Arabidopsis thaliana: one gene and its partner. The protein of the gene in region 1 purifies or fractionates together with the protein of each later gene. This does not show direct contact. Each region holds a gene or a part of one and is shown in the gene's direction. Other genes may lie near its edges. The genes, in order: LHCB6 and NPQ4.

Region 1 (4,121 bases):
GCCCCAGCACCGCCTCCTCCCCAGCCTTGCATTACTTGTGTAATAGCCCCAGCATCACCTCCTCCGCAGCCTTGCATTACTTGTGTAGCAGCCCCGGAACCGCCTCCTCCCCAGCCTTGCATAACTTGCATCCCAGCACCAGCTTCACCGCCGCCAGTACCGCCGGTGATACCATTTGTCCCTACGCCGATTTTTATACTCCCTCCATTGCCGCCTTTATTTCCTGTTCTACCACCACCATCTGTGACGCCTTCTCCGGTGCTACCCCTTCCTCCACCTTCTGCGCCTCTTCCACCACCATTATCTTCCTCTCTTCCCTCACCACCTCTTCCATTAGTTTTATCACCACCACCACCTCTACCTGGCGGCACGGTTTCACAGCCACCATTTACAATGACACCGCCTCCTCTTTTAGGTGGTGGCGCTCCGGGAACCACAGATTCACCTCCTCCGCCTCTTTTAGGCAGTGGCGCTCCGGGAATCACTGGTTCCCCTCCTCCTCCTCTTTTAGGCGGTGGAGCTCCGGGAATCACTGGTTCACCTCCTCCTCCTCTTTTAGGCGGCGGAGCTCCGGGAATCACTGGTTCACCCCCTCCTCCTCTTTTAGGCGGCGGAGCTCCGGGAATCACTGGTTCACCCCCTCCTCCTCTTTTAGGCGGCGGAGCTCCGGGAATCACTGGTTCACCTCCTCCTCCTCTTTTTGGCGGCGGAGCTCCGGGAATCACTGGTTCACCTCCTCCACCTCTTTTTGGCGGCGGAGCTCCAGGAATCGCTGGTTCACCCCCTCCTCCTCTTATAGGCGGTGGTGCTCCGGGAATCACCGTTTCTCCTCCTCCTCTATTAGGTGGCGGAGCTCCGGGAATCACCGGTTCACCTCCTCCGCCTCTAGTCGCAGACGTCCCGCCCATGCCACCACTAGCATGGTTTTCGCCGCCTGATATTACTACTGGATCACCACCACCATCTCCAGTTTTCCTCCTTCCTCCGCCTTTAGACCGGTCAACATTAACGCCACCAGCTGCACCTGTAGACAATCTCCCACCGGTTATAATCACGGGATCTCCTCCACCAGTAAACAATCTCCCACCGGATATAGTCATCGGACAACCGCCACCACCTGATGTAACCATTGAACCGCCTATTGACCAGTCAACATTAACGCCACCAGTCATTCCCGTGACTTTGCCTCCACCGGTTCAAGACCTTCCTTCGATTTTACCTCCCCCGGCTGATGAGTTGCCGCCACCGGTTCAAGAATTCCCTCCGATTTTGCCTCCACCGGTTCAAGATTTCCCCCCAATTCTCGCTCCCCCGGCTGATGAGTTCCCGCCAAATTTGCCTCCACCGGTTCTAGAATTCCCTCCGATTATGCCTCCACCGGTTCAAGATTTCCCGCCAATTCTCACTCCACCGGCTGAAGAGTTCCCGCCGATTTTGCCTCCACCGGTTCAAGAGATCCCGCCGGTTTTCACATTACCACCGACCGTACAAGATCCACCGACAATTCCAGTATTCTCCACACCACCAGTCCTCGGAGATTTCCCACCCCAAACTCCCGACTTTACCACGCCGCCAGAGGTCACAAATCCATGGCAACCGCCGGTGACGTCATTCGCACCACCAATAGAGTCCATCCCAACAATACCGGATAATCCGTTTCCGGTTACACCAAACCCGGACATGGGTTCAAATCAACCGTTTGTTGAGCTTCCTCCGCCTACTTGGGATTCCCCGCCATTTAATCGTTAATTCTCTTTATATATTTTTAAATTTTCGTTTTTTTTTTCAGTTAATCATGTAATGTGTAATCTAAACGCAATAAGCCACATAATGCAGCCATTTTGTAAATTCATTGCTGTCATTTACATTTCAATAAGAAAATAAATTAATTTCCACGTGTCATTTTATTTTCCTCTCACAATTTAGATTTAGATAAGTAAAGTATTAGAAAAATGTAAATACTGAGTTGGCAGAATAAGACAGTGGTGAGTGTGGGTGATGTGGATATGGTGAAGTAGTTTCTGACTCCTAATTGGTCAGAAATCTATCCACGACAGCCTCTGAGATTTCGTCTATAGATTCTCATTATCTCACATTGTCCCTCTAAATCTCCTCTCTTTGATTCTTTCTGCTCCGAAAAACAGAGAGAGAGAACAACAACCAAACACTCATTTCTCCACATCTTGAGAGAAAAAAACAGAGCAAGTATATTAGAGATCTCATGGCGATGGCGGTCTCCGGAGCTGTCCTCAGTGGGCTTGGTTCTTCGTTCCTCACCGGAGGCAAGAGAGGTGCCACCGCATTGGCAAGCGGCGTAGGCACTGGAGCTCAGAGAGTTGGCAGGAAAACTCTTATTGTCGCTGCTGCGGCTGCTCAGCCTAAGAAATCTTGGATCCCTGCCGTTAAAGGTGGTGGCAACTTCCTTGACCCTGAATGGCTCGATGGCTCGTAAGTCTATTCTCTTTTATATCTGAGTTACTAGCATGAACAATGCTGAATTTTCATTCATATCTCTCATAAACTAGCTTGGACAATAGATTATGATAATTCAAGGTCCTGATTACTCATTTGGTTCTAATTTGTTAGCTGAATCTCAAGAGAGCATGAAAAGCCCGAATTGTTTGTTACCCAGTTATTGAGTCAAATGTGTGTGATATTCGCAGGCTACCAGGAGATTTCGGGTTCGACCCATTGGGTTTGGGGAAAGACCCGGCTTTTCTGAAATGGTACAGAGAGGCTGAGCTGATCCATGGCCGATGGGCGATGGCAGCGGTTCTTGGGATCTTCGTCGGCCAGGCCTGGAGCGGTGTGGCATGGTTTGAAGCTGGAGCCCAGCCAGACGCGATCGCTCCCTTCTCGTTCGGGTCGCTTCTTGGAACCCAATTGCTTCTCATGGGTTGGGTGGAGAGCAAACGATGGGTCGATTTCTTCAACCCGGATTCTCAATCGGTTGAGTGGGCAACGCCATGGTCGAAGACCGCCGAGAATTTCGCGAACTATACCGGCGATCAGGGATACCCCGGTGGGAGATTCTTCGATCCGTTGGGTCTCGCCGGGAAAAACCGCGACGGTGTTTATGAGCCGGACTTTGAGAAGCTGGAGAGGCTGAAATTGGCAGAGATTAAGCACTCGAGGCTCGCAATGGTTGCCATGTTGATCTTTTACTTTGAGGCCGGGCAGGGGAAAACGCCTCTCGGTGCTCTTGGTTTGTGAGAAAACGGCATGATGTTTTTGATTCTGTAGATACAATTTCTCTTCCAAAAACCTAATGTTTCTCTTCTTCAATGTGACATTTGGGAAAAGATCATCAAACCATTGCTATAAATGTAAAATGAAATCATGAGGCTTGTTCGTAGATAACTTTATTATCACAACTCAAATGTGAAAGGGAATACTAAACATCAATGAAAGAGATCCACAACTTCATTTCTTTGCCACAAATGCATGATTGAAGAGCTCCAGCTGAAACACTGGAGTAAGAGGACAAAATAGAATAGAGCGACTTTCTTCCCTAGAGTGGAAAATGCCTAACAGGGTTTGAACAGCTAAGTCTCACTCACAACAGTAAGTTGGTTGAACCAAAAGAGTGCACAGATACCATCATCGGGTCTCTAGTGCAATAAAGCTTAGCACTTGTAATCCGGGTTGTCACGAAGGCTGAGTTTTGACAGGACAAGGCAGTAAGAATCCCAGTCAGTTCGTCTTAGATATTTCAACAGTTTCTTCCGTTTCTGCACCATTCCTAAAAGTCCCTTCCGCGAATGCTTGTCCTACGGTACAGCCACCAACAGGTATGACATAAGGTTCCACAAGAAACTGGGATGGATAGCTTCACAAAAATATCGAAAACAGTTTGAAGTTTTACCTTTTTGTGCAAACTTGAGGATAAATGCTTGATCTTAGTAGTGAGTTGTGCCACTGTAAGGAGAGACCAGAGACATCACAAGACAATCTATCTTAGAACGTGTAAACCTTTAAATGGCTAAAGTCAACATTGATCAGACCACTGGCCTTATGTAGAGTTTACCTTGCACACGTGCAGAACCACAGTCTGATTCTGACATCTTGAACTCTTCCCTGACTTTCGAGAGCTCAATTTTCATCTTCTCCGCAGAGGACAT
Region 2 (5,526 bases), about 11 Mb from region 1:
CTGGTTTAGGTTGGCAGTTTCTATGATTTTGTTTGATCGTTTATACTATTCTTTCTAGTTGAGTTTGATCTTAATGCATGTATGTCTCGCACACCACCTAATACATGATCTTAGGTATTTTATACTTAGCATAATTTCGTATAATTGCTTGAACCTAACTCACAAATGAATATTGTGTTATAACTATGCAAACGCTAAGTTATAGAGCCTTATGGATTAGAATCGAACTTGAACTTAAAGATTTGATCTATGCGTCGGTTTTTCCCTTATTTTGGGGTCTATTGTTTTTTACAAAAATCTTAACAAAATGCGATTCAAAAATTTGAAACCCAATACAAATGCATCATAAAAATTGGTGAAATGCCGGACCAGTCTGTCCTCGATCAACAGCTAGTTGTTCTCTAGATTTTGAAATATCTTGAGGATGTTTACCCGATGTCTCCGTCCCCACGTTTCTGATAAATGAAACGGCAGTAGATAGAAATATATGTGTTTCCTAGTAAGTTAACTGTATTTCTTTGTGACATATTATGTTATGTGTACCATGTTATTTGGCTATTTGCTATGATAATGTATAAATTATCACATAGCGTCCTAGCGAAATTAATAAAATCTATACTCGAAAATCATTAATCTGAAAGTTCATTAACAGATACACGCCAACATAAAACTATAACATGTTAAAGAGAAAAATACTATTTTCTAATTGATTAAATAAAATGTAAAAACATCCAAAAATACATGTCACATTATTGTTATTTTACTTATTAGGTTTGTTCCCAAAGTATATGCCTAAGCCCACTTGTTTTGTAATAACGTGAAATGAGCAGTTCGTGTTCAAACACGTCTTACATGGAGACAATTAATTAAACACCACTTACTTGTTACTACAAATATACTCTTTCGGAGTGTTGCGAGCAATTTATAAGTCGCACATATTTTTGACTCGAATCGAGTCAATCAGGTTTTCTCAAACTATTAGGGATTTTATGTAATATTTTTTTTTAAAAGGTATATTGATGTGAGTTGCCCAAAAAAAGAAGAAGGTGTGATTGATGTGAAATTGTTTTCAAAATAGGGGTTTAATGTATGTACATATAATTAAAATTAAAATGAAAGTTTATGATATTTAAATATTATATGTCCATTTTGAATATATATGATGATTGTTCAATTGATACAATTTAAATTACAAAATAATGAACTTTTTAGTAGAAGACAATGTTTTGTGTTTAAATTATAACTTTAATGAGACTCATAGAAAGAAAACAAATATGCCTAAACCCGCTTGTCATGATGTGAGATGAGGTGTTCGTGTCCAAAGTTCAAACACGTCTCTCATCGAGAAAACTAATTAAACACCAAAAATTATTCCTTTCTGAGTGTTGTGCGAGTATTTGTAGTTTCAAATGTTTTTTACTCGATTCAAGTTTTTACCGTCCCTAACTATTTTAAGGTTATAAGCGGGTGCGGTTGCGGTTACGGGAGTTTGCGGAAACGGGCGATCACGGTTTTAAGCGTTATCAAGCATTTTGAACGACTGGTTGAGCGTTTGATAATAGGTGCGTTTGCGGGAGTTTTATGACTGATAAACCAGCCGGTGCGATAGTAATTAAATAAAAAATAACCAAAATAAATATAATATATTACTATTAAAAGAAATAAAAATATAATATATTAGAAAAATTGATTTTCTGACCAAATAAAAATACAATATATCATCTCGTCCGACTAAAACATTTTCTAATCGAGAAAACAAATCGAAACATGTATTCAATCAAAAAACTCAAAAGAATACAAAATAAAATAAAAACAATGATGCCATGAAATAGTCAAAGAATTACACTAGCTAATGAGTGAATAAAATGATAGATGATACTTATGTTTGATTCTTGATTTTGATTTTCATCGGATGCCATAATTGAGAGAATAGAGTTACAATATATTGATTAGGGTTTTCTAATAAAAATAAGATATATAAAAGATTAGATTATTTTAATTATAGTGATTAGGGTTTGGGTGGAAACCACAATTATTTTAATTAACTAAAAATAGATTATTTTTTTATTTTTAATCTAACCGCTACCGCCCGCAACCGCAAACGCTTGCGGGAAGGAGCTTTTGAAAATTGGCAATTTTGAGCGGTCCAAAGCGATATCTAGCGGTTTCTATGATTGGTTCCAATCGCTAATAACCGCTACCAACCGCAAACGCTGCGTTTATGGGTGGTAGAGGGAGAACCAATCAGCCCTTAACAAAACCGAAAAAACTAAAGATTTGAACCTAAGTGTCGAAGATTCTTTCGGACCAGTCTTTACCACTAGACTACCTAACAAATACGAAAATATGAAGCCAAAATTGTTTTTATACTATTTGCGACCGTAAGTTTGGGTTTAGCCCGCTTGTGTTTGTGCCCGGCTCTGGCTATATTAAAAAAGAATTAGATATTTTTCAAATATAATATTTTTTACAAAATATGTAATTGATGTGAATTTTTTCAATATAGGTGTTCTTATTTATATACATATTATAAAAAAAATTAAGCCATTTCGTTTTTGTAATATCTAATGTACCAGTTCCATTAGTATGTACTTTGCTAGTATAACATACCCTTTTGACGTGAATCTTCTATGAGTATGTTTCTTTAGTTTTGACCAGACACAATTCATTTACATCAATACATAAATTGGATTTTAGTTCCAAAATATGATTTTCTTGAAAGAAATATTTTATATTTTTATTAGAAGGAGTTATTAGTTCGTCATAAATGGTTCTTTGAATATGACATTTATTTTGTTTTTTTGTTTACTGTCTAAATAAGTATAACTTTTAAAAAGTGTATCTAAATTTTTTAAAAACTATTATATTGATAGATTTATTTTTCTCCACAAAAACGTTATCTCCAGTTCACCACATAGAGAGTATGGAAAGGACAATTGGGAGACGTGGACGCACTTTAAGCCCATCAATAGATTTCCCTTATATCTTTTAATCTCTTCACTTCCACAACACAACACAAAACACATCACTGATCCTTCTCTCATCCTCAGAAAGAATGGCTCAAACCATGCTGCTTACTTCAGGCGTCACCGCCGGCCATTTTTTGAGGAACAAGAGCCCTTTGGCTCAGCCCAAAGTTCACCATCTCTTCCTCTCTGGAAACTCTCCGGTTGCACTACCATCTAGGAGACAATCATTCGTTCCTCTCGCTCTCTTCAAACCCAAAACCAAAGCTGCTCCTAAAAAGGTTTTCACATACTCTTTACTTGTCCCACAAGGAACATTTCTTGTGTGTTTGATGGTAATGTTAAGATTTTCATATACATTTTAGGTTGAGAAGCCGAAGAGCAAGGTTGAGGATGGCATCTTTGGAACGTCTGGTGGGATTGGTTTCACAAAGGCGAATGAGCTATTCGTTGGTCGTGTTGCTATGATCGGTTTCGCTGTAAGTCCCCTCTATGAAATACACTAACTTATCTTCCAAGAAAGAAGCTTTAGTATGAAAGCTGTGTTTCTATGCATAGGCATCGTTGCTTGGTGAGGCGTTGACGGGAAAAGGGATATTAGCTCAGCTGAATCTGGAGACAGGGATACCGATTTACGAAGCAGAGCCATTGCTTCTCTTCTTCATCTTGTTCACTCTGTTGGGAGCCATTGGAGCTCTCGGAGACAGAGGAAAATTCGTCGACGATCCTCCCACCGGGCTCGAGAAAGCCGTCATTCCTCCCGGCAAAAACGTCCGATCTGCCCTCGGTCTCAAAGAACAAGGTATCTCTCAACATTTCTATTTCTATCTTTGTTACAATGACATTGCTCTGAACAACCAATGCAAATAATATAACCTGATAGAGTACTATAGTAACTAGTATAACTGAATTGGCCTAAGTGTAGTGTCCGGATCGGCTTTATGTTTATTTATCGTTATCCTAAGATACAAATGTGAGACAAAAGATACTAGCATGGAACTGTCAATCTCCAAAAATAATCTCTAAATGTTTATTTATTTATCGTTGGCCTGATAGATTATTTATCGTTATCAATTTCTATCTTTTTCCCCCATGTAAGCACATTGGTTCCTGAATGGCTTTCTCTAGCAGAGAGTCTCTTCCCGTTAACTTAAATAAAATAGTGTTTCTGAAAAGAAAAAAAGATACAAATATGAGATTACTTAAAGAGTTGCTTGGTCTAATGTTTTGAATAAATTTGAATATGTTTGTTGTTTTGTTGTGTGAAGGTCCATTGTTTGGGTTCACGAAGGCGAACGAGTTATTCGTAGGAAGATTGGCACAGTTGGGAATAGCATTTTCACTGATAGGAGAGATTATTACCGGGAAAGGAGCATTAGCTCAACTCAACATTGAGACCGGTATACCAATTCAAGATATCGAACCACTTGTCCTCTTAAACGTTGCTTTCTTCTTCTTCGCTGCCATTAATCCTGGTAATGGAAAATTCATCACCGATGATGGTGAAGAAAGCTAAATTATCATGTACTTAAATTTAGTAGAGAGTGTGTGACCTTCTCTTCATGTTGAGACAAAAGGAAATGGACAGCTTAAATTGTTGTAATACTTATATCCTTTTGTTTTTAACTTGGAATTTTCTGATTATATATAGTTTTATTACACCTAAGTGACTAGGTGATTGATATCATCTAGCATCTCTTAACAGAAAAAAACTGTGGAATTAGAACAGCTTCATCATAGTTTTTTTTTTTGATAAATCAAACAGAATTTAAAACTAATATGTTAAAGTACATGTTAGGAACTTATTTGATTCCAAAATCTAGATTATAAAATTAATTTGGTAAATCATGAAGGAGCCGTTGTTTTTGCTCTAGTGGTTCCCCAAAAATCAGAACATAATGGCAAGTGTTTATGGCCGCGCGTACCTTCACAAGATAGTTTGCAAAAGTGAAGGTAGCGTCTCCCCTAGAGTGATTTTCTCCATTCGTCTGGTGTACCTGGCTCGTACAGGCCGTCTCTGGGGGTGGCAAGGTAGGCAAATGCCCAAGGTTACTAATCAATTTCAAAAAAATTGTTAAGACTAAAAGGCCCCAATTTTTCCAAAAAAAAACATTTACTAAGAGATTTTATTTTATTTTGAGTTTTGCCATAGGTCTCATAATGAATTGAGCCGGGATCTAAAGCATACACTGCAAGAGTAAATATTAATTTCTATTCTAGAGGACGTCTTCGATGTTGACGAAAAGAAAAGTATCCCATGCAAATCCAGCAACTCTGTCCTATTTCGGACAGTCCAAAAATCGAACTTACGAAACAATTGATCTAAAAATCATGAGCGTTCCAAATACTCCTCATAATGGTAAAATTCATAATCAAACTTCCCAATAAAAAAGAAGCCAAAAACATCTAAAATTTATGTTTACCTGTACCCAACCCTTAAACATGTTTTCAAAAGAATCTCCAAAATCATTCCTTCATCAAACCAAATCAAATCTTAAAATAAAATTTTATATAAAGAAAAAAAAAACTTAAAACCCAAAATGTGAAACGTAACTCAAAA

What was found.
Region 2: the proteins of LHCB6 (region 1) and NPQ4 fractionate together in Arabidopsis thaliana (co-fractionation; one large-scale study listed by BioGRID). This does not show direct contact.

Annotation. Positions count from the first base shown.
Region 1 is NC_003070.9:5,445,777-5,449,897, reverse strand, and holds LHCB6 (light harvesting complex photosystem II subunit 6), read left to right. Parts: upstream 1-2,017; 5' UTR 2,018-2,221; coding exon 2,222-2,448; exon of another isoform or gene 2,449-2,663; coding exon 2,664-3,213; 3' UTR 3,214-3,436; downstream 3,437-4,121. Other genes in the region: AT1G15830 (uncharacterized protein), read right to left, coding at 1-1,172; AT1G15825 (hydroxyproline-rich glycoprotein family protein), read left to right, coding at 1,369-1,749; AT1G15810 (S15/NS1, RNA-binding protein), read right to left, coding at 3,627-3,770, 3,866-3,918, 4,028-4,121.
Region 2 is NC_003070.9:16,868,713-16,874,238, forward strand, and holds NPQ4 (Chlorophyll A-B binding family protein), read left to right. Parts: upstream 1-1,508; 5' UTR 1,509-1,562; intron 1,563-2,798; exon of another isoform or gene 2,799-2,906; 5' UTR 2,907-3,055; coding exon 3,056-3,247; intron 3,248-3,331; coding exon 3,332-3,445; intron 3,446-3,524; coding exon 3,525-3,768; coding exon of another isoform or gene 3,769-3,836; exon of another isoform or gene 3,837-4,234; coding exon 4,235-4,482; 3' UTR 4,483-4,712; downstream 4,713-5,526. UniProt on the Arabidopsis thaliana protein: Plays an important role in non-photochemical quenching (NPQ), a process maintains the balance between dissipation and utilization of light energy to minimize generation of oxidizing molecules, thereby protecting the plant against photo-oxidative damage; acts upstream of DLDG1.